Linked DNA regions of Rhinolophus ferrumequinum. Each later gene encodes a partner of the first gene's protein in a complex. Links are inferred from orthologs where the notes say so. Each region holds a gene or a part of one and is shown on either strand. Other genes may lie near its edges. The genes, in order: XIAP, CASP3, TAB1 and CASP7.

Region 1 (7,908 bases):
CCCAATCTACGGTATTTTGTTACTGCGGCCAGAGCAAACTAATACACAGGGATTTTATCTGGGCCCTGACTACCTCTCTAGAGCCTCAACTCTCTGTCAGGCTTCATCCATCCCCTTATCAACACCCACTCACATCTCCACCAGTAGTTTTGAGACCGTGGGCAGCCTAACATCTCTGTCCTCAGTTTTTTTATCCCTAGGGTTGCATTATGATTAAATGTGATCATCTATGTAACACATTTAACACAGGAGGAACATAAAAACATTCAACAAATGTTAGCAGCTACACTGCAGCCACAAGGCATTAACTGCCATTCCCCAAATGCACGCTGTTTTGTTTCACTTCCATGAGTTGGCACGGGATGATATGCCTGATTAGAATGCCTTTCTTCCACTGCTTCACCTAGCCAACTCTTGGTTGTCCTTTAAGACTGAAGTCCTGGTGGAACTAGCTCTAGTCTACCCTTCCCCAAGTTTGGAGCCCACCTCTGCACTCCAAGAGCATGCTGTGCTTGCCTCCACAAAGTGAGAAGCCATCGCAGGGTTTTAGATGAAGGCATGACCTGATCTGGCTTGAGTACCTACTCTATGCCAGGTATCATTCTAGATATGAGTCAAGACAAGAATAAAAAGAATACTTAGCTCATAGGGTTACTGAGAGGATTATGAGAGAGAAAGTGTGCCAAGCACTTAAGACAGTGTCTGGCATAGGGTAGTCAGTAAATGCTAAATATTATTATCTGTCTATATTCAGGACACTCACATCCATTGACATCTGTGGCCTTTGTTTCAGTCTTCCTCTCTAAATGCAAATCCCACTACCATCCTTGGTAATGACCCCTCCAACATGCTAGCCTCCCTCTTGGACCTCAACTCCAGTAGCTTTCACCTCCACCCTACTCCAGACACACCATAACAACATCCTGACCTTGACATTGTTGTTGGAGTGTTGGATTTTTGCAGACTGAGTAGATTGTGTACAACCATAGGAATGCATTCGACGTAGAAAGCCCAGGTGAAATTTTCCATTAGCTTGAGATGAAAGTGTGCTCTTCTGTCTCCACCCCAAACAAGCAACAAGTCTCTTCTGTATAACTGGGTCCCTGGAAGATAAAGTCAGAGAAGGGAAAGGGAGGTCTGGCTGGAGATGCTAGTTTTGCCAACACAAGATAAAGGCAGGAATTTTTATGACTGCTTAAACAGAGGAAATTATAGGTGCAGTCTTTCTGGCAACAAGGAGGGAGTGAGAGGTTAGCAATCAAGATACCCAAGCTAAAGTCAAGACACTGAAGGGCAGATGCTGCCAATAGACACTGTTCAACATGAATGATCTTCACAAAGTTTGTGCTCTGATGATGAGTCAAGAGTAATCCTACGCAGAGATCCAAGATGGTAGAGTAGATCAATGCTGTGCTTGCCTCATCTCATGAACACATTAAAACCTGGAGAACCATCTGAAGTCTAACTGAACAGAAATTTTATAACTGAAGATATAAAGAAGAAGCCATGTTGAGACTGGTAGGAAGGGTGGAAATGCAAAACAACCTGGCCCCAAACCTCTGTGTTGCAGCTTAATATTGGGAGGGATATCTTGGCCACAGAAGATACCCCCACTGGAGAATCAAGGGACCCCAACCACATACCAGGCTCCCCAGCCCAGAGTAGTGGTGCCAGGAAGAGGAGCCCCCACAACATCTGGCTGTGAAAAACAGTGGAATTCCACAGTCCAGATGGGATGAAAGGCTGCAGGAAACCCAGACATCCTCTTAAAGGGCCCACATACAGACTCACTCACAGGCACTCACCCTGGGCTCTGGCAGAGGGACAGTGACCAGGGCCATCAGAGACGTACAGGGAAAGACTGAGTTGTGTGGTTGCTGGGTAAGGACTGCCGGAACATTTGCCATTTTCCCTGTGTGGGGTCTTTCTACCTTGCAGCTGGCAGACAGGCACCATCTTTCCTATGTTGAGCCCCCACCCCATCAAGCCCATGGCCAAATCTGAATCTGAATTGGTCTGGTGAGCTCAACTTGCTCCACCCTGGTGACTCACTAAGACCCAGCCACACTCAACTCCCTACCACAGGAGGCTTTATCAGTGGCTGAACCTTACAGGAGCCAGCAGCTGGCAGCAGGCCTCAGAGTGCCCTGGATTTTTCTGGAGCTACCCCAGGCCCGGTACTGGTAGCAGCCATCCTCGGTTCCCAGTATGGCCTCTCCCATGCACCTCCAGGTCCAGCACAGGCAGTGATCAACAATGGATCGCTGTGTAGCACCTACGAGGTAGTTGCTGGCCAGTCACAGGCAATGCCTGACCTTGGACTGCACCAGAGCCCCTCCCAAGAGGTACCAGAACCAACATACTTGAAGGTTGGCTTCAGACCACAGCAGAGCACCACCCAATTAGCCTCACAGGTGGCACACCCAAAGGGCGATCTCAACAGGCACCAGAGCCTGCTCAGGTGAATCCCACTCTGTGGGTAAGCCTCCCACACAGCAGCCCATAAGCAGTAGAAGTGGCCAAATCCCACAGCCAGTTAGCCTGAGGGTCAAGCCCTCCCACTGACATGTCAACAGCAATCGACGCTCAGCTACAACAGGAGGCCCACACAAGGGACAATTCTGGAGCACCAGGAGCAGGTGACCAGGGAGACTGTGCCACTGGGCCCCACAGGACACCTACTGTATAAGGTCACCCAGCAAGCCTGAAAGAGGTAGCAGATCTACCTAATACATAGAAACAAACTGAGAGGCAGTCAAAATATGGAAACAAAGAAACACATCCCCAATGAAAGAATAGGAGAAAACTCCAGAAAAAGAACTAAACAAATTGGAGGCAAGCAAAACACCAGAAACAGAGTTCGAAACTGGTTATAAGGGTGCTCAAGGAACTTATTGAGAACTTCAACAAAGAGATAGCAAGCATTAAAAAAAAAAAAAAGAAAACAAAAAAGATCCAGTCAGAAGTGAGGAATACAATAACTGAAATGAAGAATGCACTGGAAGGAATAACCACTAGATTAGATGAAGCAGATGACTGAATCAGCAATTTTGGAGACAAGTTTTCAGAAAACACTCAATCAGAACAGCAAAAGAATAAAAAAATATGGTGGTCATGGTAGGCCCTATTGAGAAGGTGACGATTAAGCAGAAACTTTAAGGAGGTGAAAGACAAGCCATGGAAATAACTTATCTGCTCAAGTAATTTTAACATTATCCTGGAGGTTGTACTTCATGTTTTAACTCAGATAGCCATGTGCAGGCTAGATTGTGGGGGCACCAGTCTAGAGACAGAGAGGCCAATTAGGAGACTGCGTAATGATCAGACATGCTTGTAATCAGACAGATCTTGGTTTGAATCACTGTTCCAGCTCCCACACATACTACCTAGAAGTGTGACTTTGGACAAGCTACCTAATCTGTCTAAACATCAGTGTGTTCATCTGTAAAATGGGGATAATGTTACATATTTTATAAGGTTGCCATGGGAATTAAATGAGATACGTATTTGCTTGTGGTTACTATTATTGCAATAAATCAGATGTGAGATTTCCAGAGCTTAACAGTGGGAGAGAATCAGGGGGGATTCTTAGCAAATGCCTAAAGCCCCAAAAGAAGTCTTTCCTCCTTCCAAGGTCCCTTTTCATGAAGGGCAGCATCATTTGAGGATGCAGGTGATACTTATGATCTTCCCCATGAAATGAAACTTTCTAATTCAGAATCTCTTATCTCACTACACTAACCTGTAAGAAAGCCCATTTCTGAAACAAAATTCATCTGTCGGTCTGACAATCCTACAGCATATTTGAAATAAATCCTGTATTTTATGTACACAGATTTCCTTTGTTTCTCTTCTTTCTGCTGTCTTCTCTACTCATTTTCATCTTCCAAATCCCTTCGTGCCCCCACGAAGTGTCTTCCTTTCTTTTTCCTTTCATCCTTCCCTCCTTGGTCACAGATCATATTGTAATCTCAGTTCCCTCGTTTATTAGATGCGTGCTATTGGGATAGTTACCCTCTCTGCATCTCAATTGCCTCTGTAAAATGGGTTTAATAAGAGAATGACTACCTTACAGCAAAGTGCACGTTATATGGCTACCACAATGCCTGGTCTATAGTTTAAGAGCTCAACATGTTCGTTCTCTTGTGTATCTTTTTATACTTTAATCTCTATTCCGCTACTCAACCGCAGAACCCAGCAGGTAAAAACCGTGGGGGGAAAAAAACACCTGGAGGCTAAAAGAGGAAAGGCTTGAGCTGGGGGCGGGGACTGCGTGGTGCCCATGACGCATGCGCGCCCGCTCCGTCAGGTTCTGGTTTCTAGCTCCGGGGTGGGGCTGGGGGTCGGGGACAGAGGGCTTCGTTTGCCCTGACCGCCCCCTTCCCGTCCTGGGTAGTGGCTGGACCTTAGCTGCGTCCCCAGCGGCCTCAGTGCTGACTTTGGGACGTTGGGCCCGAGGAGTAAGTTCGAAAATGGCGGAAGGGGAAGAAGGAGGGGCTTTGCAGGGCTGGAGGCTGGCCTCCGGGCGGGGGTGGCGAGAAGGAGACTGCGGGGGCTCCAAGTGGTGCGGCTTGTGCCGTGAGACGGTCGGACAGCGGCCCGTGCCTCTTTGAGGCCCTCGGGATATCTCCAGGGGATGGGCGGGCTGGTGGGCGCGAGTGAGGGAGAAGAAGGGACTTCCGTTTCCTTTTAGGCCCGGCCGGGCCTCAGAGCGGAGTTGGCATTTCCAGATTGGGGCTTGCACCGCCCCTCCTCCAGAACCCTCCCCTCCGGACCGCGCAGGGTGCCGCAGGCGATCCGGGCGAGCTCTCCTGGCGCGGTAGGTACTGCCCGCTTGGGCTTCCTCCTTCCTTCCCCTCCCTCTTTTTTTTCTCCCCTCCCCTTCCCTCCTTTCCTCTTACTTCCCCTCTCTTCCCTTCCCTTCCCCTCCGCTCCTTCCCCTTGGGCCCCGCGTTACGGGGGGAGGCCGCCCCCCTCTCAGGCGCGGGTGCCCGCCAGGGCTCCAGGCCCAGGTTCCTGGGACTGACGATGGAAGGCGTGGGCGGGTGGGCGCCAACTTGAATCCCGTAACCCCTAAGGTAAATCGAGTCAAAGAACTTTCTCTAAAATGATCAAAGGGACCGTCCTCCCTTGTGATGCATGTGGCATGTATGGATCTGGGTGGAATGCGTGTGGTGAGGGCGTGTGAAGCTGAAAGAATAGTAGGAGCCAAAGAGCTTCCGGAAGAGGAAATTAGCTAGTAATTCTTTCCAACCTTTGCTGGTCTAGTCATCTCCCCAGGATCTTCTGTAAGTAGAACAAAATTCAATCTAACTTTCAGTTTCATTATTTTAACTCCGTAGTGCACTTAATTATTTTCGTTTCGGCAGGAGGGAAAGTGGTTATTGCTGAAACTAAGCCATGGCTGGCCCGCCTCTAAAAAAAGAACGTCAATCAAAGCTTTGTAAAAACCTACCCGATTTTAATAATCTGCTACTTTGCTTTCAAATGTAATTATGTCACTAGTTCTGTCAGAACTGTACCTTGATAGTTAATGAGGCATAGCAATTTACTCTGGTAAGACTGGAGATTACTATAATGTTTCTTTTTTTTTTTTACTTAACATTTGTTACAACCAGTTCAAGAGAACACTTACAGACGGCCATCTTAGAATTATAACATTTTTGATTTGGAAGGGATCTTAGTTCAACCTTGTTATTTTACAAAAGCTGAAACTGAGGCACAGGAAAATTTCATGGCTTGCCTAAAGGTACTCGACTACTTAAATTAGAACCCAGGTTGTCTGGCTCCTTGCTCGCCAGTCTTTCTGCGCAACCACTCCACATAGCCTCCAAGCAACGAACTTCAATGTATTCAGTATAACGTACATTTCTGAAGCCTCTACCACTTTGTGACATACGACTCTGCTACTGCTTTCAATGAATTTAACATGCTTATGAAGCTGCTGCTTGAAACAGTTTCCCCCATCATTCAAGAAGTGGCAACAGTTTAGGTTAAAAAGATTTATACACACAGGCACATATGTATACTTGAATACATTCAGGTAACTTTTTGAAGGATACGTAAAAGGATTTTTTTTTTACATAAGAAAAATGTTAACAGTGGTTACTTATGCAGGGTGAAGAGAGGTGGGAGGCTTTTTACTTTGCACTTCACTTGTGTCCTAATGTACTATTTGAATTTCTTCCATAAGCAAGTATTGAGTTTACAATTAAAAACAAGTTTTAAAGTTCACACACATATATATATATCAGTATAGATAAGTATATATCAATAATATGTGTATATGTATGTATGTACATATATGTATTTATGTATCACTGGTTTGGTTTTTTTGTTTGTATTATGAAATCCAGTGTGGTTCATGTCAGACTAACTGGCAAAGGAGGCTTGATTATTGCATGCTTACGTTTCTTTGGTTTTCTCTTGTTGTGCCTAATGTAAGATGGTAAAAAGTTATATATGTTACTAGTCTTTAAATATTTTTAGAAAATGTGCTATGCTTTTGATTATCATATAACGGAGCAAACTATTAACATTCCGGATATCAAATTTGATACAATGAAAAAATTGAATGTAGAATCTTTCTGGATAAGAATCATTTTTTTAAAAAATTAAAACTGGAAAGGTCCCTGGTGATTAGTAGTTCAGCTTTTTTCTTTCTTTGAATGGGTTAGTTAAGAGTCAAAGAAGAAAAGTTGCCCAGGGTTATATATCTGATTATTAGCAGAGATTGGACTAGGATCTAGGTCCTAGTCCAGTGCCCCTTGTAAATGATACCTGTAATTTTATTGCTTTCTAGTGCATTCGATGACGCCAACTAGGCAGACAAAGTAATGGTGACTAAAGATTAGGACCATTTCAATAGATAAGAATTATTGTAATTAATGTACCATTAATTTGTATAGTGCTTGAAATATTTTAGTAATGTAAATGTTCCCTTTACATTTGTTATAATCATTAATTTTTTTTAGTAAATCCTTTGTTTATATTACAAATACTTAGAGACCCCAAATATGAAACTATATATTTCACTGTTTTTGTTTGGTCTCATATATGAGTTTGGTAGTGCTAACAGGAAATAAAAAAACTATGTTTTATCTAAAATATATATACCTATATATACATTTAGATATATCTAAATGTATATATATCTATATATAGGTATACCTATATATATCTATTATACCTATATATATCTATATATAGGTATACATATATATATAGATATAGATAGATAGATAGAGCACCTACTGTATTCCAGGCATTGTACTATGTGGTAGGGTTCCAAAGATGAATATGGCAACATAGATGCCCTTGTTCTTTTGAGGCTGGAAGATTATCACGAGCTGTCAATTCTCAAACTTAATTTCTGGTCTAATGTGGTAATAGTATATAAAATGTAATCTATAGCACTGTTTAACGTCATTGTGTGAACAGATTTGAGGAGACAAAAACAGTGGTAAAATAAGTTGATACTGAATTGAACAGATGTTAGTTTTGTATCATACAGCTTATGTGGTACAGTGGGAAAAGCTCTGGATTGGATTCCTGCGTTCTTGTCTTGGCTTTGTTTCCAATCAGCTGTAGAATTGTGAGCAAGTCACTAAGCCTCAGTGCCTCCATATTTTTTTCATAACTTTTTGATATATTTATTCCATTTTATTCAAAACAAAAAGTATTTGGAATGTCATATATTATAAAAGGGAATAAGTATAACCCGCATTCTTTTATATTTACTTTTTTCATTTAGGATCATTTTGTATATAGATTGTTTTAATCCTTTTTCTCTCATTCAACATTCTGTATTGAACATTTCCTATGTCATGAAGTATTTCAAAATATAGTTTTTATTAGGCATATTATTCTGTGCCCCATTTCCTTCATCTGTAGAATAACAGGTTTGAG
Region 2 (7,935 bases), on another chromosome or scaffold:
ATATTTTAACATTTGTTTATGAATGACATGTTTTTGTTTGCATACAATGCTTTCATGTTAGCCATACAAGGTAAGGGGCCAGGTAACACTTTTCCAATTTGGGATTATGGTTTACTTACAAAGGAAAAATGATAGGTTTTCAGAAGAAAGGAGGGGAAGTTTCTGAGATTTTAGAAGGGGGAAGGCTTTTATTGTAGATAAAAAATGGCCATAAATTCTTAGCCATTCCTCTCATCAGGAGATGCCATTTAAACCCACTCTCATACTGAGTCTGGGTTTGCCCAGGTGACTTGCTTGGACCATGTCTCACTGACAAATGGGAAACAAGGAGACATTTAATAAGTGCTTTTGCATTGGATTTGGCTATCTTGGACACCTTCCCTGAGATTGTCATGCTATAACTCTGGCCTCATAGAGGATAAAAGCCATCTGGAGAAGAACCAAGGAACCTCAGCTAACAGCCAGCACCAACTATTTCAGATTTCTGAGTTAAGCCATTTTGGATCATCCAATCATCATCTGAATTCAATATATGAGTAAGCCTGAGTTAGTTTAGGCGAGATCTGCCAAAGAACTGCTCAGCCAACCCACAAAACTATAAGAAAAAGAATTGGTGGTTTTGTGTTTGTTTTTTTTAAGCCAGTAAGTTTGGGCCTGGTTTTTACACAGAAATAACCAATAACTGAGTTTCCCTCTTCATTAATATCTTCTATGTCATAATATATCTATGTAGAAAACAAGTATGTTAGTTTTTTTCAGTGAAATAATAATATATACTAAAGCATTTGAGGGTAAAATTCCTATTTACCTTTGGCAATGTCTTTCCAGTACTTGCACTTATCAAGTTGATAAATATTCTCTAGAATTTTAGCAGAAAACTCTGTGACAACACAAACCCACTGGCAAATGATATATACTCCCTGAATGGAAAAATATCCCTAAAAGATTGAGAGGATAGGAATGTCATGACATGGCTAGAAATAAAGGCATATTATCCATAGATTTCAACTATAACAGACTTAAGATTCTTCTCTGTGACACCTAATCCACATGAAAATTATAAATTACAAACCAAGAAACAAATATAATTCTAAGGGTGTCAACATAAATTTCCTAACAGATACACTTACGAAAGGAATGTAATTTCATTCAACTGAAGAGATGGGGCAACTTTTAATACAACTGCTTTAATTTTTCAATACAAAATGATACAGCCCTTTATTGCTAGATTCTGAGTATTCAGTTCACTTTAATCTGCTTCACATAAAGATAAAAATTCCCTACATTTAGATAATCTAATTGGGAGAAACTGACGTTTTTCCTATGAAATTTATTAACTTTTAATAAAGCCCACTGATTAGTTAATGAAGAAAATAAACACAGAATGCAATCAGATGTGAATTTTAGCTCCAGTACCTAATAACTGACTAGGACTAACCATGTGGATCTTCACACTTAATGACGATGACATCAGGAAATTTTTTTTAGATTTTGTAAAAATATTGTTATGACCATGGGAGTGAGTAACTGAGAAAACCATGAATGTCAAGAGAGAGAAAAAGTTCAGTATCTATTATGCTCTCCTGGTCTTTACACAGTTTGAAATTTTTAACAGCTGGATTGAGGGTTAGAGGACAACTGGGGCTTGGAGTGTTCCAGCGGGAGGGCTGAATGACAAAAGCAAAGGAAATGAAGAACAGGAATTCATCTGTATTTCTCAGCCCTTATCCTCCAGAAATGCTTTCAATTCCTGGTGGGGAAAGAGTTCTTTCTTCTCTATAACCATACATCAAAAAACCCTTTCCACATAGGGTCCATAACTACCGATTTTTGGTAACAGTTTCCAAGTTCCAAAGAAAAATATGTATTGTATTTTAAAATAGTAAGCCTATTGTTTATTTCTAAACATTGCGCCAGAATTTTTATTTAACCATGTTTGAAACTGATTTTACAAGTAAAAGGGGTCAGGCTAGAAAAAAGGCTGGCTTTAGTCCTTTCAGAGAGGGGGAGGTGGGGATGGACGTGGAGAGATGACTCAGAAAGCCAACCTAAGTAGCTCTGGTTTCCCTAGGTTTATGCCTAGACTTGCCCAGCTATGACACTTGATAGCCTGACTCCCAGGAGCAGCTGGACTAGGGGGCACATGCTTCGTGATTACTGGCTTCTAGGGAGATCTGAAACCTGCCTTGCCATAGCTCTCTCTAGCCCAGTTCTCTTGGTTTCTTTCTTGTTTTTGTCTAATCACAAGTCAATTCTTATTCCCCAACTCCAGCTTCTCCCTCTGCCCTCTGAATGGATTCATCAGTATTTTGTGTTTTCTTGCATACGTGTTCTAGTTCTAGTATTTAGTAAGGTTCTGTTATTTGGCAAGGTTTTCTTAATCCCTTTTATGGCCTCTTGGAATACAGTTATACTATTTCTCCCACTGCTAAAGTATTCATAATAAAGTATGTGATTAAAATTCATTTACAGTAATATTATTATATAAATGTACATTCCAGATGAATGACACCTTAAAGAATTAAATAAAACGAATTAACTGAATTTTCTTTTTTTCCCCACTTCAGTTCACTTTGCCTCTCTATGCTTGAACAGAAGTAACTCATATTTAAATTTTCCAAAAATCTCCTGTAAGGATAAGACATACTGTTCTTTTCCGGTTGCCCCTTTCTACTATCCCCACAGGATGTCCTATGCAAAAAGCCTAACTCTGCCAGACCAATCACCCCTAAGTCCATTTGCATAACTTTTCCAGGGGCACTCGTGAATGATTCAGAGCGTCACTCAATCCACACTACAGTTTACCTCAGGAAATCCAAACTCTCTCCAGAATCTAGCCCTAAACCACTTGTGCAGTTTATGTCTTACTGTTCAGCCCTCTCACCAAATGAATGATAATGACCAGTCCCCGCACCTGGCCACTCCAAGTGCCCCTCTTTCCTGTTTCTCTCACCTGTAATACCCCACTTCCCTTTCCCAATTTCTTCCCCTTCAAGGGCAAGATCAAGTTCTGACCCCTAAGACCCTTTGTAAAAAGAAATTACTAGGTTAAGAAGACAACTGTTTGTGTCTCCAGCCAACTGTTTGATATAATCAAAGTCTCTCTAGACTAAGTAAATTCGTGTAATTTACACAGAAAAAGAAAACTGCTGCTGTTGCTTTAACTGAAGCATCATTTTGGTAAGACAGTTTAGCACAGGAAGGGGTTTGGGTATCACAGTGGGGTAACAGGACTTGTTCAACTACACCAGCGCCTTCCTTATGAATAACCGCACGTTGAACCACTGTTTGGGTTTGGGAGTAAGTCCCATTCTTCAGTTTTACTGCAGCAAAAAAAAAGGGACTGCCAAACATCCGTCCTCTCTCAACTTGGGAGGGATTAAGAAAGGCCTAAATTTTATTCCTGGGGTCCAAGTTTAACTCCTGTAACTTTTTTTTAATTTTTTTATTGGGAAATATTAGGGGACAGTGTGCCTTTCCAGGGCCCATCAGCTCCAAGTCATTGTCCCTCAATCTAGTTGTGGAGGGCACAGCCCAACCCCCAAGTCCAGTCGCCGGTTTCAATCCTAGTTGCTGCCCATGCGGGAATTGAACCGGCAACTCTGCAGTTGAGAGCTCGGCTATAACCACCCCTGTAACTCTCCTTTTAACAAAAGCAAACGACTTAACCTTTTTAAGCTCGGGTGGGGATTGGAATTCCCACCTCCAGGGGTTGTTGGAAGAATAAAATAAGAAAACGTAGTGTGAAAATGTAAGAGCACAAAATAAACACTCAACAAATGGTAGCCATATACAGAGGGTGCCAAAAAAAAATGTATACACATTCTAAGAAAGGGAAAAAAACTGTATTAAAATTATACTACTATATACTGATAACAAAAGATGAACACAAGTCATGTGTATACATTTTTTGGCACTCCTGGTATATAGCGAGGTATATTTGTGTATAAATTATAGCCCCTGATTTATGCCCCAGTAGGCAAAAGTGTTGGGGGCAGTCTTGTTCTTATCATGGGGTCCCTGACTTGTCAGAATGTTACGAACCTCTTGAAATTTGACGCAGAACTTCGTTGTCAATAGCGTTGGTATATTCAGCGAAAACAATTCTTAGGTCTCATCAGGGTCTGAAAAGAGTTCGTGACCCAAAATAGGCAGGAACGAGTGGGGCAGTTAAGGTTTTTGATTTAGGGACGGGGAACTGGGGGTGACCTAAGGAAAGGCCTCGGGGCGCCCGAGGGGAAGCAGATTTCCAGTGCGGATCGCGGCCCGCTTCCCTTCATCCCCGAGGTCACACTGGGCATCAGGCCCGACCTTGGCTCCCTCTGCTCCGCCCCCCGGGCCCGGGGCGGCCTTCAGGTCCCCGTCCGTTTACCTCCAGAAACCCGCGCAGTAGGCGGAAACCCCTCGGCCTTCAGCAGCTGGCGGAACCCATGACGTGCCCATCGAGACCGGAATCCAGTCTTCAAATTGCGCGCGGGGGCGGGGCGTCCGGGGGCGGGAGGGCGGGGAGCACGCGCGCCTAAGAGAAAGCGGCTGGGGCGACGATCCCGGGCGCGCAGGGAGGGGTGGGAAGGCGGGGAGCCCGGGAGACAGCAGCGGGTCGTTGTCCTGAAGGGGCGGGGGCGGGGCGCACCGGGGCAGCGGGGACGTGTCTGCGGGGAGCGCAGCGCCCGGGACCGAGGGGGCGGGGTCGGCGGGGGCGTGGCCAGGGGGCGGGGCGCCCGGGGCCGCGGGGACGTGTCTGCGGAGAGTGCAGCGCCCAGGACCGAGGGGGCGGGGCCGGGGCGGGGCTAGTGGGGGCGGGGCCTGCTCCCGAGCCCAGCGCTACCCTCGGCGGGCGGCGGAAACCAAGCTTCGCAGAGAGGGGAGAGCTGTTGGCTGTTGTGTGGGGGCTGCTCGGTGAGTGCTGCCCTCGTCCCTTCTCGCCGCGGGGCCGTTAGCTCTGGGCCAGCTCCCTCCATCCTTCCAAGCACAGCACCCTTCCCAGAGACCTGTCCAGACCTGCAGCTGCTCGGGGATGACGGAGGAGGTGGGCACGGTCCGGGCGGAGGATCCTTTGTTCTGCCACGACGACGGGTGCGAGCACGAGCACTGAAGCCAGCGAGCTGGAGACCCGGTCGGGGGTAGTGGGCGGTCGGGCGGGGGGTGTGGAGGCCCGACAGCGGCCGGCGGGGGAGCGGAGACCCTGCTGGAGCTGCGGAGCTCGGAGGACGGGAGGCGGGTCCAAGACCGAGAGGCCAAGCCGGGAGCGTCGAGGCGGCAGGCGGGCGACTGAGCTGGGGATGTGGCGGCCGAGAAGTGGAGACCTGGCTGGAGAGCCAAGCCTGGGGGACAGGAGGCCGAGGCCGGGTAGCAGGAGGCTGGACCCGGGTCGCGGAGCCTGGTGGGGAGGGGCGCGGGCGCTGGGCCCGAGTGTCGAGGCCGGGTAGTAAGAGGTCCGACCCGGGAGCAGGAGGCCACGGATGCTTGGAAAGGGAGGGCGGGCTGAGGTTTGAATCGGGAAGGGAGGAGCTGAGGATCGGCGACGAGAAACGCTGTCTCCAGGGCAGGAGGCGAGTTTGGTGCTTACCGGCAGGCGGTTTCTCGGGGCTGATCCTCCCACTCTTGGGCAAGGGTTTGGTCTCTGCTGCCTTGCCTGTCTCGAGCTTGGATTTTCTCGGGTTGACTGTGTGACTTAGTTTTCTAGAGAGGTAATTTTCAGCATTAAACTCCAATTCCTTTTCAGACCTGAAGCCCTCGGTGAATCCTTCCAGCTCCTTCCTCCCTGTGACTATATATCCAAGGCCAGTCACCTGGGAGCTGCTTTGAAATCCCCCCAGGCCATGGTGAATAAGAGTGCCTTTCTCACTCTTGTTTTCAGTGTGTCGGCCCTCAAGGCAGCTGCCTCTTTCCTTGTTCTCAATAAATGGCACCAAACCAAGAAACCGGAAACGAACCTTCTCACCTACCTCTCCCAGCTCCTTCCTTGGTTAGCCACCAAGCCTCCTTGACCTCCTAAATGTCCACTGCATCTGTTCACTTCTCTCCATAACCGATTTAAATCACCCTAGGCGCTCACCTGGCTGCACCAGCCTCCTCATTGGTCTCCATACTTCCAGACCCTCTGCCCCTCTTCAATCCATTCTTTATAGCACAGGCTTTGCAAAATAAAAATCTGGAAAACTGTTCCTTTGCCCGTATGATAAACCCAGACCCTTAACATGGTTAACAAAGCCAAACACAGATTGGCTCCTTGGTTCCCTCCCCTGCCTTATCTTTTATGATAGCACCCTTTCACTTTCTGCATGGCCATGCTGATCTTAATACCTGGTCTCTGCCTGAAACACTCTTACATTCCCTCTTTCCCCCATCACATCACATTTGCTTGAGGAACGTCTCCTTATGTTTCTGTTGTCATTAAACACTTCAAGGTTAAGTTTTCCTATTATGTTCCTTTTCCATCTGTCATTTCCTAAGAAGGGAAAGTCATACCCTTTGCAGTTGCTTGTTTACTATCTTCCCCACTTGCTTCCCTAAGCAAATTCCATGAGGGACTCTGTTTATCTTGTTCCTTATTGTCTTTCCCCATACCCAGAGCCTGGCACAAGTGAATGCCCACACTACACAATTATCTTTTAATTATTCCCTATCCAGAAAAAATAAACCTGTTTTGGGATTACTTAGCAAATTATAATTAAAAGATGTGGCTTAGAAAGGAACGGTAGAGGTGAATTATGGAATTGCTGAAAAATGTGGATGTGCAGGATAGTAATAGGAGGGGCTTAGCAAGACGGTTAGACCAGACTGTATCAAAATGTGCTCTGCCGGTTTGAATATGTTATAGGCACATAACCTCTAAGAACCAAATGGAAAGCTTAAGTCATTCCTATTATAGCCTGATGATTGAGCTTCGGTATTGGTTTACTCTTGCAAAAAAAGATTTTTCAAATTTATGATTTGTTTTAATGAATGAATGAACAACTTACTGGAGTTTGGCAATAAGACCTGTTCACAGTAAAAAAGACATGAAACATTGTATCTAATTAAATCAGATTTGCTTTTGCTATCCTGAAAAATGGTCTTGCCTCCTGCCCTTTTTTAAAAAAAGACTAACATCTTATCTGATATAAGCATTTACAATGTTTCTTTGCTGTTTTGCTTTCAAACCTAATTTAACACAATCTTCTGCTTCATCCTCCTTCTAGTGCTAGAAAGCAGTCTTTATTTTCATGGATGTCATTAAATCTATTCTGGTGCCTCGTATTAGGTAGTTCTTTAAGCTCTGCCTCAAAGAAGGGAAGCACTGGTGTTTGGTTCTAGAAAAAGAGGTGGGAATTCTTAGACTGTTAGTTATTTTGTTCACATTTAACAAATACAAATGTAATGGAGGGAAATAGGTCCTCTGTAGGCAGACAACCTGAGGCCAAGTCCCAAGGGCTGTCTATACTAACTAGCTCATCCATAAATTAGGCGTAAGTAATTTACATATCTGTTGGGCTTGTGAGTATAAAACGACATAATGTCCGTTACAATGCTTTGTAAATCTCTATGTAATGTTCTTCTCTGCCTATTTTGTTACTGCCTTCAAATTGCTACTAGAGCTTCTGAGTTAGGGTAGAGTAAGATACTTATCTGATACAAATGTAACCCTGTCCAGCCTCTGCCTTAGTTGAGCCACTTTTGAATACCAGTGAGCCTTGGTGAAAGTTCCACATAGGGAAAGTGTCTTTGTCTCTTCCCTTACTTGATGGGCTCAGGATGTACTACCGTACTCTGCGCACAGTTGGTGTTCAGTAAATGACTGGCGCAAATAACAAATAAACTTCTCAGTTTCAAACCTCTGGCAAGCAGGATTTCTTTAATGGGTGGTTGTAAACCTGAATCTGCCTCTACAAAGGAGTGGTTCTTAGTGGGAGGAAAGAGGTCTTGTAGGTTATCGGTAATTTTTATAAAAGG
Region 3 (7,564 bases), on another chromosome or scaffold:
GAGACCCAGAGCTGAACGGCCAGAGTTCTTGCCCTCTGGAAGGTCACTGCAACCAATAACTAGAGTTTTCCATGATCGAAAATGACCGAGGGAGTATCCTTAGGGTGGGAATCAAGAGAAATTTCTGAGGAGGGGCTTTCATTTGCTAAGAGCCTGGACAATTGAATAAAAGTCCACCAGGTAGTCAAATGTGGGAACAACAGGTACAAAGATGGAGGCCGGAAACAGTGTGGTTGTGTGGAAAACTTCCAGCAATTACAGTGAGGCTGAGCTGTGAAGGGCCTTGGAGGGTCTGCTTCTCTCACAGGGTTGCAGGGAAAGGCCCTGGAGTCTTCGACCGAGGGGTTTTTACCTACAACAGCAGAACACTTCTGACGTCAGATGTGTGGGTTTCCCACAGTAAGCAATTCTCCAGCTCTCTGCAGACACCAACTGGGTGTCCTGTAATCTAAGTCAGTCTAACACTAACTACCCAGAGTTAGTACAGACCCCACAGGTTAAGGGTGGATTCCCACAGACTGCCCCCTCCTCAGACATGAGTCCCAAGTAGTGGGTCCTCAGGTTATCTACACTAATGTCCAATTTGGCTACAAATCGGAGGTTCCCATGACCCCCTCCTCAAATTCCATAAAATGCTATGACAGCTCAAGAACTCAGGGAAACACGTGACTTGCTGTTGCCGAGTTATTAACAAAGGATACAAGTGAAGAGGTGATAGGGTAAGATCTGGAAAGGTCCACAGCGTGCAGGAGTTTCTGGTCCCCCTGGAGTTGGGTTGTGCCACACTCCCAGCACGCAGATGTGGGTTCACCAACGCAGAAGTTCTCCAAACTCCTTCCTTTAGGATTTTTATGGAGGTTCCATTACATAGGACGGTTGCTTAAATCACTGGCCGCTAGTGCTTACTCAATTCTTAGCTCCTCTCCCCTCCTGAGATGGGAGTGGCAGGGCTCAAAGCTCCAAACCTCTAATCACGTGGGTGGTTGCTCTGGCAACCAGCTCCAGCCTAAAGTCATCCAGGGGCTTCCAGCCACCTGTCATCTCATTACATAAACCTGCAAGATAGTTGAAAGTGCTTGTTATCAGTAACAAATGATGCTCCTACCATCTCTATCACTCAGGGAAATTTCAAAACCCTTTTAGAAGCTCTGTGGGGACCAGCCTGGTGGCTCAGGTGGTTGGAGCGCTGTCTCCTAATGCTGAGGTTGCCGGTTTGATTCCCACATGGGCCAGTGAGCTGCGCCCTCTATAGCTAAGATTGGTTGAACAACGCGTCTTCCTGGAGCTGGGCTGCTGTGAGCAGCCGGAGGTTGTCAGGAGCTGCTGAGTGCTGCTGTGTGCTGCCGCCAGCCAGCGTGAGTGGCCGGCAGCCGGCGAGAGCTGCTGTGAGCGGCCGACCGATGACCAGCAAACCGACTGCCTCAGCCGGGGAGCACAAGGCTCATAATACCAGCATGAGCCAGGGAGCTGTGTCCTACACAACTAGACTAAGAAACAACGGCTTGAACTGGAATTGGGGGGGGGTGGGGGGAGGCAGAAGAAAGGGGAAAGAAAAAAAAAGAAGCTCTGTGCCAGGACTGTGGGACCCAGTCCAAAATATGTATTTCTTATTACATCACATCACAGAGTCAGAAGACCTAGGTTCAAATCCCGACATTTATTTATTGGGTAACTTGCTGAACTGGAGTTTCCTACATTATAAACTAAAGATGACTACAATCTTTATCTCACAAGGCAGGTGTGAGAATGAATAAGTGTATGATGAGAAAGCATCCAGCAAGTGCTTTGGCATACAGTAGGTGCTCAATGTGTGTTTATTATCTTTAAAAACATTAAATTGTAATCAGGGCCTACCACAAGCCAGGTCTTTCCATGGCACCTCATCTAATCCTCGCAGTCATTCGGCCAGGTAGCCTTACTCCCATTATAAGAAGGGTCCTGAGGCTCAGACAGGGGAGGTGACTTATTCAGGGTCACACAGGTGACAGGATATGGGGCAGCGATTAGAATGGAGTGGGTTGGGCTCCAAATCCTGATTCTTTCCAGACTCTTCTTCAACAGGAAAAACCACCTGGCCCCTCCCAAACCCCTTCCTGGCAGAGAAGACTGCTCATAGCCTCCTGGTGTCCGTTATCCAATCCTTCTTTAGTACAGGAACTGTACTTGGGCACATTGTAGCTCAGTCCAAAGCTTACATTTCCTCACCTCTCTTTTAGCTCCATGTGGCATGAGTTAAGTGACAGCCAAAGAGATGTAGGGGAAGCATCATGCGGAACCTCTGAGGTCCCTTAAAAGGGAAGGGAGATTGCCTGCGAGTAAATTTTGTTATTAATAATGTAAAAAGAAAGAAAGAAAGAAAGAAAGAAAGAAAGAAAGAAGAAGAAAGAAAGAAAGAAAGAAAGAAAGAAGAAAGAAAGAAAGAAAGAAGAAGAAAGAACAAAGAAAGAAAGAAAGAAACAAAGAAAGAAAGAAAGAAACAAATAAAGAAAGAAAGAAAGAAAGAACAAAGAAAGAAAGAAAGAACAAAGAAACAAAGAAAGAAAGAAACAAAGAAAGAAAGAAACAAAGAAAGAAAGAAACAAAGAAAGAAGAAAGAAAGAAAGAAAAGAAAGAAAGAAAGAAGAAAGAAAGAAAGAAACAAAGAAAGAAACAAGAAAGAAAGAAAGAAAGAAGAAAGAAAGAAAGAAAGAGGTATCATCTTCCTATCTTCCTCTTGCCTTCCAGCTGGCTGAACTCAGACAAATGGCTGGAGCTCAAGCAGTCATCTTGAGTCATGTGGAGCTGTGTTGAGAGGAGAGCAAGATGGTGAGTCACCATCCTAGACTGACACCCACTTCCCCCTTCTAAATCATCAGCTCTTCTCTATTAAACCTTTCCTTTGGCATTTAAACAGGCTCAAGTTTCCCCAGCCTAACAGGAAAAACCCTCTCTCAACCCCACGTTCCCTTCTCTTCCTCTTCCCAGTCCACCAATTGGGAAGTCCGCCTATTCTCAAGGTCTCCATTTCCCAGCTATTCTTCAATTCACTGCAAATGGAGTTTGGTCCTACCATTCTACCTGAACTGCCTGCGCAATTAAAGATGGCTACATCTAATAGACTTTCTCCAGAGAGTTACCTTCTAACTAGACCTCTCAAAAGCATCTCACATTGTTGCCCCAGCCCTCCTTAGACACTCCTCACCTTGGGTTGTGCTGCCTCTGCTCCCCTTGCCTTTCCAGCTGCTCATTCTGTCATCTTTGCCAGTTTAGCCTCTGCTCTGAGCTCCAGCCTTCTCCATCTAAAGACTGACTTGATTTCTTTTCTTGAATGTTTCAAAAGCCCTCAAACTCAACACGGCCAGACTGAACTCCTGGTCATTACCTTCTCCCTCTCCCAAACCTAGCCGTTCTTGCCAGAAATCTGGAAGAATCGTTGACACATCACCACCCACAACCAATCCTTGCTCCAGCATCGCAGATTTCATCTCCTAAATAAAGTCCACTCACTGCCATCAGCCAAATCAAACCACTATCATCTCTCACCTAGAACTAGTACAACAGTCCCCTAATCGGTCTTCCTGTCTCCACTCCAATCCCCTTAAAAATCTGTTTTGTACACAGTAGTCACAGGGATCTTTCTACCTGAGATCGTGTCAGTGACTTGCTGGGATGTGCACAGCTTCCCTTTGTCCTCCAGGTGAATAGCCCAACTCCTGCCTGGGGCTCACAAGGTCAGAGTCTGCCCTACGCGCCCTTCATCTCACTCCCCCTCCATCTTTTTTCCAACCACATCAGCCTTCTGTAACACGCGTGCTTCTTGAACCCACATGCTCCCTTCCCTCAGGCTTCCTGCACTCGCTGGCCCTTCCCTTCCCTGTTACCAGTTAACACTGCACTACCATGCTTCATCCATAAACTTCTCTTCCTAGCATTTACCGTGTTTCCCCGAAAATAAGACCGGGTCTCAGATTAATTTTTGCTCCAAAAGACGCATTAGGGCGTATTTTCAGGGGATGTCTTATTTTTTCACGTACCACAATCTACATTTATTCAAGTACAGTCATGTCATTTTCTTCTGGAACATCATCATAACGTACCAAAATGCGGCCGTCTGGCTGATCCTAACTGGGGCTTATTTTCAGGGTAGGTCTTATTTTCCAGAAAACCCAGTATCACCACGTGAAAGACGTATGTATATAAACGTCCTCCCCAATTAAAACGTTAGCTTTTTGAAGGCCTGTTTTGCTTGCTGCTTCACCCCTAAAGGCCCAGGCACGGTCACCCAATGAATATGTGTTGCGTGAACGAATAACCCACCTTCCGCCTTCCCCATCGTGTTCCTGCAGAACCTAACCCCGGGTTTGGGAGCCTCACCTGAAAGGCATCCTGGGGAAAGTGTGCAAATAAAAATGGGCGAGGGGCAAACCTACGGAAGCCTTCCCTTTATCTCCCACTAGAGAAAAAGGTGGAAGAGCGCGACCGCGTCCACGCCCCGGTGCGGCCCCATCCCACTCGGCCATGGGGTGGCGCTGGGCGCCTGCTCCCCGGTAGCGCCGGCCTCCGGGCCGGCATCAGGCCGCTCTAGCCGCCCTTCTCGTCTGCTCTGCCGGGAGGCGGGCGCGCCCGCCGGGTCCCTTCAAGATGGCGGCGCAGAGGAGGAGCCTGCTACAGAGTGTGAGGAAGAGACCCGCTCTCCGGGCTGGGGTTTGGGAACCGGGAGGGAGCGGGGAGGCCTGTCGGGTGCAGGCGCCGCTGCCACTTTGCCGTGGGCCGCCTACCTGTCCCTGGCGGGATGTGACCGCCGCCCTCCCCTCTCCAGGGCCGGCCCCCCTCGTTCCCTAGGTCTGGGCGCGCGCGGCCCCGCGAGCCCTGCGCAGGAGCGCGGTGTGCCCGGCCGTCGGGGGCTCGGATTCCGGTCCTGGAGTCCCCTGTAGCGTCCAGGGCGCGTCGAGGGTGGAAGCATTTTGGAGCCAGAAGGGAGTATGGCCTCGCGGCAGCGGAGGGAGCAAGGGTGGTGAGCCCACCCGGCACTGAGCAGGCAGTCGTGGGATGATAATCGTAGCGGCCTCAGCCACTTTTATCCCAGGCTTTGTGCCAGTGGCTTTACATTGTAAGTTTCATTTTCCTAACAGCGTTATGAGATAGGTACTGTGATTCCTGTTTTACAGATGAGGAAACTGAGGCACAGAGCGGTGTCATTTGCCCAAGGCCACAGAGCTGGTAAGTGGCAGAGGCAGAATGAAAATCAGGCAGTCATTCCAGAAACCCTCTTAACCTGTAACCTATACCAAAGGAATGACCGCAGTCAGGCAGCCTGGCTTCTGGTCCTGGCTGTATCTCACTATGCCTCCATCCGCCTCTGCCTCCATTTCCTTATCTGTAAGGTGAGCGCAGGCAGTGGGAGGATTGTCATGAGACCCACCCCGACTCCCAGTCTGGACTCTCATGGGCTGGTAGCTGATGTCTTCCAGCCCCTGGGTCCTCCTGACACATGTACATAGATGCACACACGTTGGCACCGTGGGCCTATTCTGACCTGCCAGGATTGGGTGCCGGTCCCATGGGTCCTCCCCAGACACAGCAGGCACACAACAGACACAGTCTGTTGTAATTGCCTGTGGACATGTCTGCCTCCTGTACTGGAAGGTGAAGTCCTTTAAGACAGGGACTTGTGATCTACCTGTACAATGAATAGTGCCATCAGCACCTACCACCACTAGGTGCCAGGCATTCAGTAAATATTTGTAAAATAATGAGGAAAGCATTTGTAGCCAGGTCTAGTGCTCAACAGTGGCCGTCCTGCCCTTGAGGGTCTTGAAGCAACAGAATGTGTGTGTGTGGGATGACCTTCACTGCTGCGTATGAATGACAGGCTTTGTGTAGACTCTGAAATTGCTCTTCCAGGACAGCAACTCCCAGTGGGAGGGAGGGAGTAGCTCTCTTCCTACACCTTTGGCTGCCCCCCTTTATTTAACTACTTGATAGGTCGGCCTTGTCATTGGGTTGGTTAGGTAGACCTGGCCTCTTGCTTTGTAAGCTCCCAGACGTCAGGGCCCCTGTGTAAATGTCCCCATTGTAAACATTCCAGAAACACTGGCTGCAATGTGTGGCAAATGATAAAAGTGATAACTGCTGTCGGCTAGCTTGGCTTGGAGACTGGCTGCCAGCTTCCCTCCCCTGTAGGTGCGATGGAGCCCAAGGAACTTGGGTTAGACAGAAGGTGAGCTTTACTAGCTCCAGAATGTGTTCCTGGGTGGTGGGGGAATCTTTGAAATACAGGTTAGTTAGCTTTAAGCATGTAGCATCTTGACGAAAGCAAAGGGATGACGGATGTCTACACAAGGCCCCTCCCACCCTAATGATGCTCAGGACATTTCTGCTCAGAGGGTGTCAGTGTGTGGGGCTTGCTGTCCTGCCCTGTGCTGTTCTGAGTCTGGGGAGAGCAGCGCAGACACTCATTCAGCAGATGGCTTTGAGGACTGCTAGTCTGTGGTTACTGGACCTGGGGATGTGAAAGTGAATAAGGCATGTACACACTCTTGCTCCATTTGCAGTTGAGCTTGGGAGGAGGAGCCACATACCGCTAACACAATGTGTGAGGCCTCTGGTGGCAGTGCGTAGAGGGGCTGTGGATGGCTCGCTTTGACTGGGCCAGTGGAGGCTTGCAGGAAGCGCTGGGACTCGCTGACGTGGTGCTGGAAGGGAGTGCTGGGGCCAGCGGGCAGCGCGCTTCGTGGGATGACATCCTGAGAAGTTGCAACTTTCGTCCCCAGGCAGTGTGGTACTTTAAAAGATCTTTTGAAGAAAAGAAGAGCTTTTGAAGATAGTTTGATGTGTTCAAAAGAACCTAGGCCCTTTGCAGCCAGATAAAACAGAGTATGAATCTTGCTTGTATGGCCTTGGGTAAGTCACGCAACATTCCTGAACCTTGGTTTCCCCAACCGAGAAGACTTCCAGAAGTGTTGTTAGTAGTAAATGAACTGACATGCCACGCTCCTAGCCTGGCACGGTCACACTCCAGTTGTGAAGTTCCACCTTCAGTTCTGCTACCTATGGTTCATTCTCTCAAATGTCAAATGGCACTGAGCACTCACTGTGTGGCAGGTGCCGGGAAGGTTCAGGGGACACGACCCTCACTCTAGGAAGGGAGACAGGAGTAAACAATGCAGAAATACAGATGCTATGTGATGATTATCACATCACGTCAGGTGGTGCGGTGGGGAATCGTCGGCACACACAGTGGTCGAGGAGCCATTTCAGGCCGCATGGCAGGGGAAGACCCCAACGTTTGATGCGGTGCAGTGGGGTTCGGGAGGGAGTGTTCCTGCCCGAGGGAACAGGGATGCTAAGGCCTGCCTTAGGAAGCATGGAGGGGACCCGTGTGGCTGGAGTGGATTGCTGGGAAGAAGTGCGTGTCACCCAGGTCCGAGGGCGCCATGTGGATTCCGTTCTGAGTGCGATGTGAGCCTCTCGGCTGGTTTTGAGTAGAGGCCTGATGTGATCTGATTTGTGATCGGAGAAAGCCCTTCGTGGAAAAGCGCTTGCGTGGCAAGAGTAGAAGCCTGGAACCTTCTGAGTGGCACTC
Region 4 (7,616 bases), on another chromosome or scaffold:
CAGGCTGTGACAGCCTCAAACAAGAGCACATGGGCTCCTCTGGCCTTCAGGACTGTTCAGACAACATCTGTCTTAGCCTGGGTTCCCCAGAAAACAGAACCTGAGGCAAAGGCTTATGTACAAGGACCATATTCAGAGGTGTCCCAGGGAGCAGACGCAAGGAGGTAGGAAACGGAAGGAGGAGAGTCAACATGACGGTTCGTTCTCAAAGTAGCCACCACGTGATATAAAGTGCATTGGATCACTTGATCTCCACCTTCTGAGAGGCCATATAAACAACTGCTACTCAGGAACATGTCAATGGAAGGAAGGATTTATCTGGCCTCTGTCTCCCACTGCTGAAAGTTTTGCCCCACTGGGTGTTAAATCCCCTACATGTCCATGTTATGTATGGACCTAAGGAGTCCCACAGCATCTCATGACTCAATAGCAGAGAGTCCAAGACTTGGGCTCAGTGGTGACGCGCTAGAGCCAGATCAATGTAGAGCCTTGTTGATCCTTGATCTGGATACTTTTGCCAACACTGTCGCATGTCGCTTTGGCTTTTCTTTTCTTTCTTTTTTTGTTTTTTACATCTTCACTCATGGGGAGCTTGTTGTGATCATTGGAAAATTCCACAGCCTTTTGTTTCACATTAATGACTATCATGTTCAGTATGTAAGCAACTGATTTCCTTTTTGAACTTCAATAGAGCACTCATTTATCTCTTTTAAATTTCACCCTGTTGATGGTGGCCCCATTGCTTCATACCTTGGTTCTGTCATCCAGAATATGAGGTAATTCTTCCTAGCTCTGAATCCTTTCCAATGCCCTCCTGTAGATGTGAAATGGTTTTGAAATTACAGACGGATGACGAATGCAAAGTAAGGACTAAGCTACCAACCCTTCACTCTGTCACTGTCTCTCTGGTTAGATTGGGGTCATCCTTCCACGCTGGCAGTGTGTGCCTACCTTAGTTTGGGTTCTTCCAAAGCAAAGCTTAAAGCACAGACTTGGGTTCAGGAAGTTTATTTAGGAGGTGGTCCCACAAGGCAAGAATGAGGGTTTTAGGTCGGTGAACTAGAGAAAGAGGAAGAGTCCATAAAGGCATATTCTGAGCTCATTACCCTAGGGACAAGGGGGGTGCAATCTCACTGAAGACACTCTGAGGAATCGTATAACATGTTCCCCAGAACTACCCCGCTGAAGGACGGGAGGCGGGGACACTTATCCACCCAACTCTCATGTCCCTTTAGTTGCAACTTACTGTTGGGGCACTAACTCCCCTCCACCTCTAGGGTACACCTGTCTGCACGAGCTGAACATACTTCTGCAGCTTCAGAGAAAGCCCAGGGACAGGGAAGCAGAGGGACACTGCTGTGGGAACTTAAGGAGGGCTTGGTGACGTGCATCAGTGAGCCAAGGGAACATGGTATAGGGTACCCCAAGAGTCAGTCACTCAAGGAAACAGACTGTAGGCAGGGTAAAGTGTTCATATGAGATGCCATGAACTCCCACTGTCCTGCTCGTCAGGCTGATGGTGTCATTTCTGCTCCATCCTTGCACTGCTCTGCACTGTGCAGCGCTGTGTCCAGATAGGTGGGGTGGAAAATTCCTGAAGCAGAGCCTAGTTCCAAGCTCTCACGCTTTTCAAGGTCAGAACTGCCACTTCAGCCTCACCTCCATCCCTTGGGGCTTACAGGTGCCTGGAGGGGAGGTTCTTGGGGGTGTTTGATGAAGTTTCACGAGCACCTACTGATGGGGAGTTGGTGGCTTCAGGGTTGCTCCCTGCAGTCCTGAGGCCTACGCACTAGATGGTGGGGACCAAGGTAGGCAAGTATCTCTCCTTGCTCTGGGGAAGCCTGAAGGTTGGTGAGGTTGCCTAACTTGTTAGGCTGTGCCCTGAGTTTCAGCGAGTGATCTGTTTGTATAAATCTGGTCCACAGGAAGTACTGTGCCTAGGAAAATCAGGGAAATATTTTGCCTCCTCTCAATCCTAAATCTGGTTTGAGACTACTCTTTAGTTGAAATTACTATTTGCTTTGGAAATGGGATTGTGTCTTTTGGTCTAAGACAGAGTCTATAAACTTCTGTAAAGAGTCAGATTGTAAACAGTTTAGGCTTTGCGGGCCACATAATGATCTCAGTTGCATCTTCATTTTCTTCTTCTTCTTCTTCTTCCTCTTCCTCTTCCTCTTCTTCTTCTTTTCTTACAACCCTTAAAAAATGTAAAAACCATTCTTAGCTTGTATGCCATACAAAAAACGTGGCCCATAGGCCATAACGTGCCAACCTCTGGTCTAAGAGGTTGCTCACAGGACGTCAGGAGCAAGCAGTCCAGAGTTCTCTTGGGGAGGCTGGTGGGGAATAGGAAGGCAGAGGAAAGGATCAGAAATTGATTCAGCCCCATCTGGCTTTGACTGTCTGCAAATGGGGGTCTTACTCAAGCGTGAACAATATCCAATGGCTGTGGTTGTCTTTTCCTGAGCCAGGGAACCACGACATACCCTGTGGGTGGCATGGAGTGTTTCCTCTGAGTCAAGGAATGGATATTCCTCCTGCTGAAGACCATAGAGTCAGAAGTAAAGCATCCCTTGGTTTGGGGAAACACTGACCTATCCATCTGGGTCCCATCAGGAAAGGAAACCACCCAGTAATCTGAACAGGGAAAGGTTAATATAACAAATTATTACCTAGAACAGGGCATTGGACTACCAAGAGATTGGCTAGTAGAAATAAAGAGGAACTCTAAAAAATATAGCAATTGCAGGTATATTTGCAGACAACATATGTATTAGTTTGCTGGGGCTGCCACAACAAAGTACCACAGACTAGAATGCTAGAATCCACAGTTCTAGATGCTAGAAATCCAAGATCAAGGTGTCAGCAGGATTGATTTCTTCTTAGGCCTTTCTCCATGGCTTGTCGATGGCCATCTTCTCCCTGTATGCTCACAAAATCTTCCCTCTGTGTGTATCTGTGTCCTAATCTCTCCTTATAAGGACATACTGGATTAGGGCCTACCCTAATGATCTCATTTTTACCTCTAAAAATTCTATCTCCAAATACAGTCCCAACCAGGTGGGTAGGACTTCAACATATGAATTTGGGTATGGGGGGGGGAGGGCGGTTACAATCTGGCCCATAACAACATGACATGATATGACATGCCACTACCCCTATAGCTGAGATAGAGAGCCTAAGGAAGAGCCCCCACCCCCCTTCTCCCTGCTCCAGGGCTGAGATCCAAATCTTGTTGGAGAGAGTGTGGCCTAGATGACAGAGAAGTCACTGTGGTACTGTGCCAGTGGAATTTGCTAGAATCTGTCCTTTAGACTTTCTGGATACTCTCTAGGTGCTAAAGAGAGCTTTTCATGGGGAGGTATTTCAGTGGAGACACTCTGCTAGAAGAGCACCCGAAGGGGGTGCCGGGCAAGGTGCTGGCTGCTGAGTGCTGCTGGCCACCAGGCCAACAGGAGCTGGATACTGGGACACCAGGTGTGCCACAAGAACCTGAGAAGCTACCCCTTCTGCAGGGGCCTGGTTCGCAGGAGCATGCCAAACACACCAGAACCGGGAAGCAGAACCTGTTCTTCCTGCACTCTCTCCAGGGACCCACTGACAAAGCTTAACACCAGGCCATAGGCAAAGGAAAACTCCTTCAAAGGGCCCAATTACACTTTCACAGAACAGACAGACAAAAAGGGTGAATTCTGAGCGTGGAGGCACTCTATCCATAACAGGAGCAACATGAATTCCTCCTTTCGGGTGCCAGCCTGACAGGTCTGGTGAAGGCCCTCTTCCAGGTTGCAAACAACAATCTCTCCGTGTCCTCACACGGTGGAAGGGACTAGAAAGTTCTGTCAAGCCTCTTTTAGAAGGGCAGTAATCCGGTTCACCAGGGCTCCACCCTCATGACAAAAGCACCTCCCAAAGTCCCCACCTCCTAATACCCTCAGGTTGGGCATTTGCTTTCAATGTATGAATTGAGGGGATACATACAGCCTATAGAACACCCACATTGGGAATCGTGCAAATGCCTGTTTAAAATATTCAGGAATTCAGGATTTTCACAGAAAGTAATAAATTATAATTATGCCCTTACACTTGCCTGGGGCCAGTCTTTCTTAAACCAAGAAAATGTCCTTACCTGGTAAGATATTAGAGATAATATTAAAGTCGCAAGCCCAGAGGAAAGCAAGCAAAGAAAAAGACAAGATGCGGTTCTTGGCTGAGGTCACAACATGAAGACTTCACTCCTTTCACTCAAGGTGTTGGTAGCTCTTTCAGAGCAAATATCTCTGGTATGAATAAAACTAATTTCCTTGCAAATATTTATACCTCAGTGTGACTAAGTTAATTAGCTGCTCCCAAGGAGCCTTGGAAAGAAAGGCATTAGAGGCCTCGGATGGAGGCCCAAGGATGAAGAAAGCCGTGGGGGACGGGGAGAGGGATGCAGGGGTGAATGAAGTGGAATCCGTGCAAGTGCAGTTCTCTCCCTAGTTAAACTAATTCACGGCTACATATCCAGTGGCTGACACCTGGGGGCGCTCACTATATTTCAGGAATGATTCCCGCGCCAGCCACGTCGGGACTAGCGGGCTGTTTGCAAGGACTTGCTCATGAGAAAGCTGAATTGGCGTCCTACTTCTTACGTGCACAGACAGGCGCACTCGCAAGTGAAAGCAAGTTCTGGAAGGCCGGAAGACGACAGCGGATCCGACGGTGACCCGAGGGGCTCCGCCTTGGGAAAAGGTAACACCCGGAGAGGCAGGCGCCGAGCACCCAGGGGCCCTGAACCGCACAGCCTGGGGTCAAGGATCTGGCTGGGCAGGAGCTTTAAGGCTATGGGAACTGGGTCTCCGTAGTGATGCGGGGGCCCAGGTAGAGTTGGGGCAGCCCCAGGAGAAGGAAGGAGGCGGGCGCGGGGCTCTGAGGAGCGTCCCATAATTGAGCGGCGGGGGGCTGCAGGGCGTGCTCTTCCCTCTGCGTGGCCCGGGAGGTTTGCGGAGCGCACTCTGGGAGTCACTTTGAGCGCTGCGAGTTCTGCAAATGTGCCGTCCCGAGGACTGAGCGCGGCGGCGGGATCCCATAAATCTCTGCAGACTGAATCCCGCCGCGCGGCGACTTTGTCGAGGGAGCTTTCCGGGGACGATGCGCCTAGTGACCCGGGCCACTTTGCAGGGCCGAGTTCCAGGGCGGTGCTCGCGGCCAACTTTTTAGAACGCGCGACCCACTTTGCCGAGGGCTCCTCCTGGAGACTGTGCGCGCGGCCAACTTCGCGGAGCGCGCCGTCCTGAGCCGGGGGCGGGGGCGGGGGGCGGGGCGGGGCACGTAGCCCCGCCCTGCTCCGCGTCTGGCCCCGGACGGCTCCGCCCCTTCAGCGCTTTACTTTCATTTTGGGGATAGGAGTAGCTGCAGACCCTAGCCGCGGAGGCACGCAGACCGCTGCCAGCTCTGCCCGCCAGGCCGCGTAGGAACGGTAACTTCGGCCCCCGCCTCTGCTTTTGCCTTTGCAGCCCCTCGGCGGCGCGCCTCCTCGGTGCCTCGTCCGGCCTTCTCCTCCCTCCTCCGCTGCCCCGAGCGAAGTCTGGGGCGGGGGATCGGGGTCCCTAGGAGCAGGGCTGAAACTGCCGGCGCTGAAACTTTGGGGGAGAGGTTGGTTTGATCAGCTTGACTTCCCTCCTAGCCAGCGGGCGTCACCCGGTACTATTCGAGATTTGGAAAAGAAGAGGTGGATTTAAAAGGGAAGGAGCGGTTCGTTATCTCGCAGGGCTAACGGCGGAGGCTCCCGCGTCAAACAGCCTAGATTCCGGTCCCCGCTTCCGTGCTTGCAAACTTGGCTCTCTCTGTACTTATCCATTTAATGGGAATAATGGTGATTAGGGTTTCCAGGGGGGAATTCCCGCCCATTCTCAGGAATTTTGTTCGCTTTCCGGTTCCCAAATCCTGAGAAAAGTTGGTTGGGAAATTGGGAAAATCGGCTCCTTGAACCCAGGTGGTTGGTAGTATGGGCCGTCACTTTGTGGAAACAATTCATCGTGGAGGACAGAAAACAGTTTATATCTTGGGATTTGGGACCGGGAAAGCGAAAAAAAATTCCTGAGAACGCGGGGGAATTTCCGACTGGAAACCCTAATTGGTGATCCTGGGCTGACGATTGCAGCCAGGATGGAAGGAGGCGATTATGTTGCATAGCAGTGCCTCTTTCAAGGCTTAGTGTGCTACATGTGAGCTACTGTCATCATTTTGCGAATACCCTTGTGCAGGGCTCTTGAAGATCCCTTGAGGAAGTGAAAAAAGATAGGACTCTCAAGCTGCCAGAGATCTTGTAACCTGTTACCTGTTGTATTCAAGTTTGCCGTTTATGGGGCAGTATAATTACTGATGGGTGATTCTGTGAGTCATTACCAAGTCATTGCCAGATCTTATCCCTTGAACTCCTGGACTGGCTGTCTACTTACCCCAACATTATTTACTTATAGGCTGTTTCCTCTTCAGGGTCTACAGTCTGACCTTCGTCCTCGTCAGGCAGCTACTACTTAGCTTCAAAAACTCTAAAACAACCTTTGTGTAGGTATAAAAATAAGGATGCTAAGTCTTCAGAAAGCATTGTGGGGCTGGCCTAGTGGCACAGGTGGTTGGAGCTCCGTGCTCCTCACGCTAAGGTCGCGGGTTCAATTCCCACATGGGCCAGTAAGCTGTGCCCTCTACAGCAGAAAAAAAACAAACAATCCGCAAGGTGGGTTCACAGTCCAGTTCTGCCTCCTCTTAGCTGTGTGGCTTTGAGCAGGTTACTTAACTTCTCTAACGAAACCATAGTTTTTTTTCTGCATTAGAGGGTAAAAACTCCCATCTTCTAGCAATGCTGTGAGCACCAGGTGACAATGGAGAAGTTGAGTTCCCAGCATAGCCCCCTTCTTCTCCAAATGCTAGAGGTGAGAGGTGGGGGTCCTCGGAGCTGCTGCTTTTTACGCCTTTTAGAAAGATTGTCTTCATTTGGCCAAGAGTAGGGTGCAAGTTGTATCATGTCACTTTTCTGAGGAAGCAGCTACAATGAGTTCATTCCCCCCACAGGGGGGGAAAAAGTTCAGATAATAAATAGCGGGAAGTGATTTTCTTACCAGATGTATGCCAGCCACCTATTAAGAAATAATGGAAATAATTAGTAGAGGATTTTTGTTTTCAGTCCCCACAATAGGTGCTTAAAATATGGATGTAATTTAAACGTACTGGTGAAGGTTGACAACTGAATGTTTTCTTGAGTTCTGCACACAGTGTTGATAATAGGGAATATTAAACCTTTACCATAGAATGTGCTACACGGTGCTTAGCATTTTGCATGCATCGTTCCATTCAGCCTCACAGCCACCTGTGACTGAGGCATCATTGTTTTCCCATTTTATAGATGAGGAAACTGAGCCCGGGAGAGGTTGAGTACTTTGTTGAAGGTGCTAATAGATAGAGGAGCCAATTTAACCCCTGATCTTTTGGCCACGACTGGGCTTTCCGCTGCGCTCCTGGGGTCCCTTTGGTTCTGTTGTGTGTCCCATATCAACAGTTCCTTCAGGACACTGAAGCATTAACACATTTTAAGTATATTTTAGTTATAACATTTATATAGAAGTATTTATTGA

The links.
Region 2: the proteins of XIAP (region 1) and CASP3 are in contact, whole or in part, in a crystal structure (PDB 1I3O), measured with the Homo sapiens proteins. The link is inferred for Rhinolophus ferrumequinum from reciprocal best matches to the Homo sapiens genes XIAP and CASP3. Residues at the interface, in NP_001158.2 of Homo sapiens: Ala137, Leu140, Leu141, Gly144, Gln145, Val146, Val147, Asp148, Ile149, Ser150, Asp151, Thr152, Ile153, Tyr154, Asn226, Leu231, Gly232, Arg233, Asn234; in NP_001341706.1 of Homo sapiens: Tyr204, Trp206, Arg207, Asn208, Ser209, Lys210, Asp211, Trp214, Gln217, Lys242, Thr245, Glu246, Phe247, Glu248, Ser249, Phe250, Phe252, Thr255, Phe256.
Region 3: the proteins of XIAP (region 1) and TAB1 are in contact, whole or in part, in a crystal structure (PDB 2POP), measured with the Homo sapiens proteins. The link is inferred for Rhinolophus ferrumequinum from reciprocal best matches to the Homo sapiens genes XIAP and TAB1. Residues at the interface, in NP_001158.2 of Homo sapiens: Phe33, Ala34, Ser38, Gly39, Pro41, Ser43, Ala44, Ser45, Thr46, Arg49, Tyr75, Ser78, Ala79, Val80, Gly81, Arg84, Phe92, Ile93, Gly95, Tyr97, Leu98; in NP_006107.1 of Homo sapiens: Glu99, Ala100, Arg103, Thr201, Gln202, Leu203, Glu212, Asp213, Phe216, Arg217, Gln220, Arg241, Glu269, Glu271, Ile272, His273, Ala275, Gln276, Pro277.
Region 4: the proteins of XIAP (region 1) and CASP7 are in contact, whole or in part, in a crystal structure (PDB 1I51), measured with the Homo sapiens proteins. The link is inferred for Rhinolophus ferrumequinum from reciprocal best matches to the Homo sapiens genes XIAP and CASP7. Residues at the interface, in NP_001158.2 of Homo sapiens: His136, Ala137, Leu140, Leu141, Gly144, Gln145, Val146, Val147, Asp148, Ile149, Ser150, Asp151; in NP_001218.1 of Homo sapiens: Tyr230, Trp232, Arg233, Ser234, Pro235, Gly236, Arg237, Trp240, Glu274, Ser275, Gln276, Asp279, His281, Phe282.

What each region holds. Positions count from the first base shown.
Region 1 is NC_046284.1:33,251,687-33,259,594, reverse strand, and holds the start of XIAP (E3 ubiquitin-protein ligase XIAP), read left to right. Parts: upstream 1-4,901; 5' UTR 4,902-5,078; intron 5,079-5,102; exon of another isoform or gene 5,103-5,288; intron 5,289-7,908.
Region 2 is NC_046287.1:77,145,549-77,153,483, forward strand, and holds the start of CASP3 (caspase-3), read left to right. Parts: upstream 1-4,928; 5' UTR 4,929-5,017; coding exon 5,018-5,029; exon of another isoform or gene 5,030-5,076; intron 5,077-5,751; exon of another isoform or gene 5,752-5,822; coding exon of another isoform or gene 5,823-5,825; intron 5,826-7,935. UniProt on the Homo sapiens protein: Thiol protease that acts as a major effector caspase involved in the execution phase of apoptosis. Following cleavage and activation by initiator caspases (CASP8, CASP9 and/or CASP10), mediates execution of apoptosis by catalyzing cleavage of many proteins.
Region 3 is NC_046293.1:8,078,034-8,085,597, reverse strand, and holds the start of TAB1 (TGF-beta-activated kinase 1 and MAP3K7-binding protein 1), read left to right. Parts: upstream 1-4,564; 5' UTR 4,565-4,620; coding exon 4,621-4,653; intron 4,654-7,564. UniProt on the Homo sapiens protein: Key adapter protein that plays an essential role in JNK and NF-kappa-B activation and proinflammatory cytokines production in response to stimulation with TLRs and cytokines.
Region 4 is NC_046299.1:14,265,953-14,273,568, reverse strand, and holds the start of CASP7 (caspase-7), read left to right. Parts: upstream 1-4,610; 5' UTR 4,611-4,734; intron 4,735-5,336; exon of another isoform or gene 5,337-5,461; intron 5,462-7,616. UniProt on the Homo sapiens protein: Thiol protease involved in different programmed cell death processes, such as apoptosis, pyroptosis or granzyme-mediated programmed cell death, by proteolytically cleaving target proteins.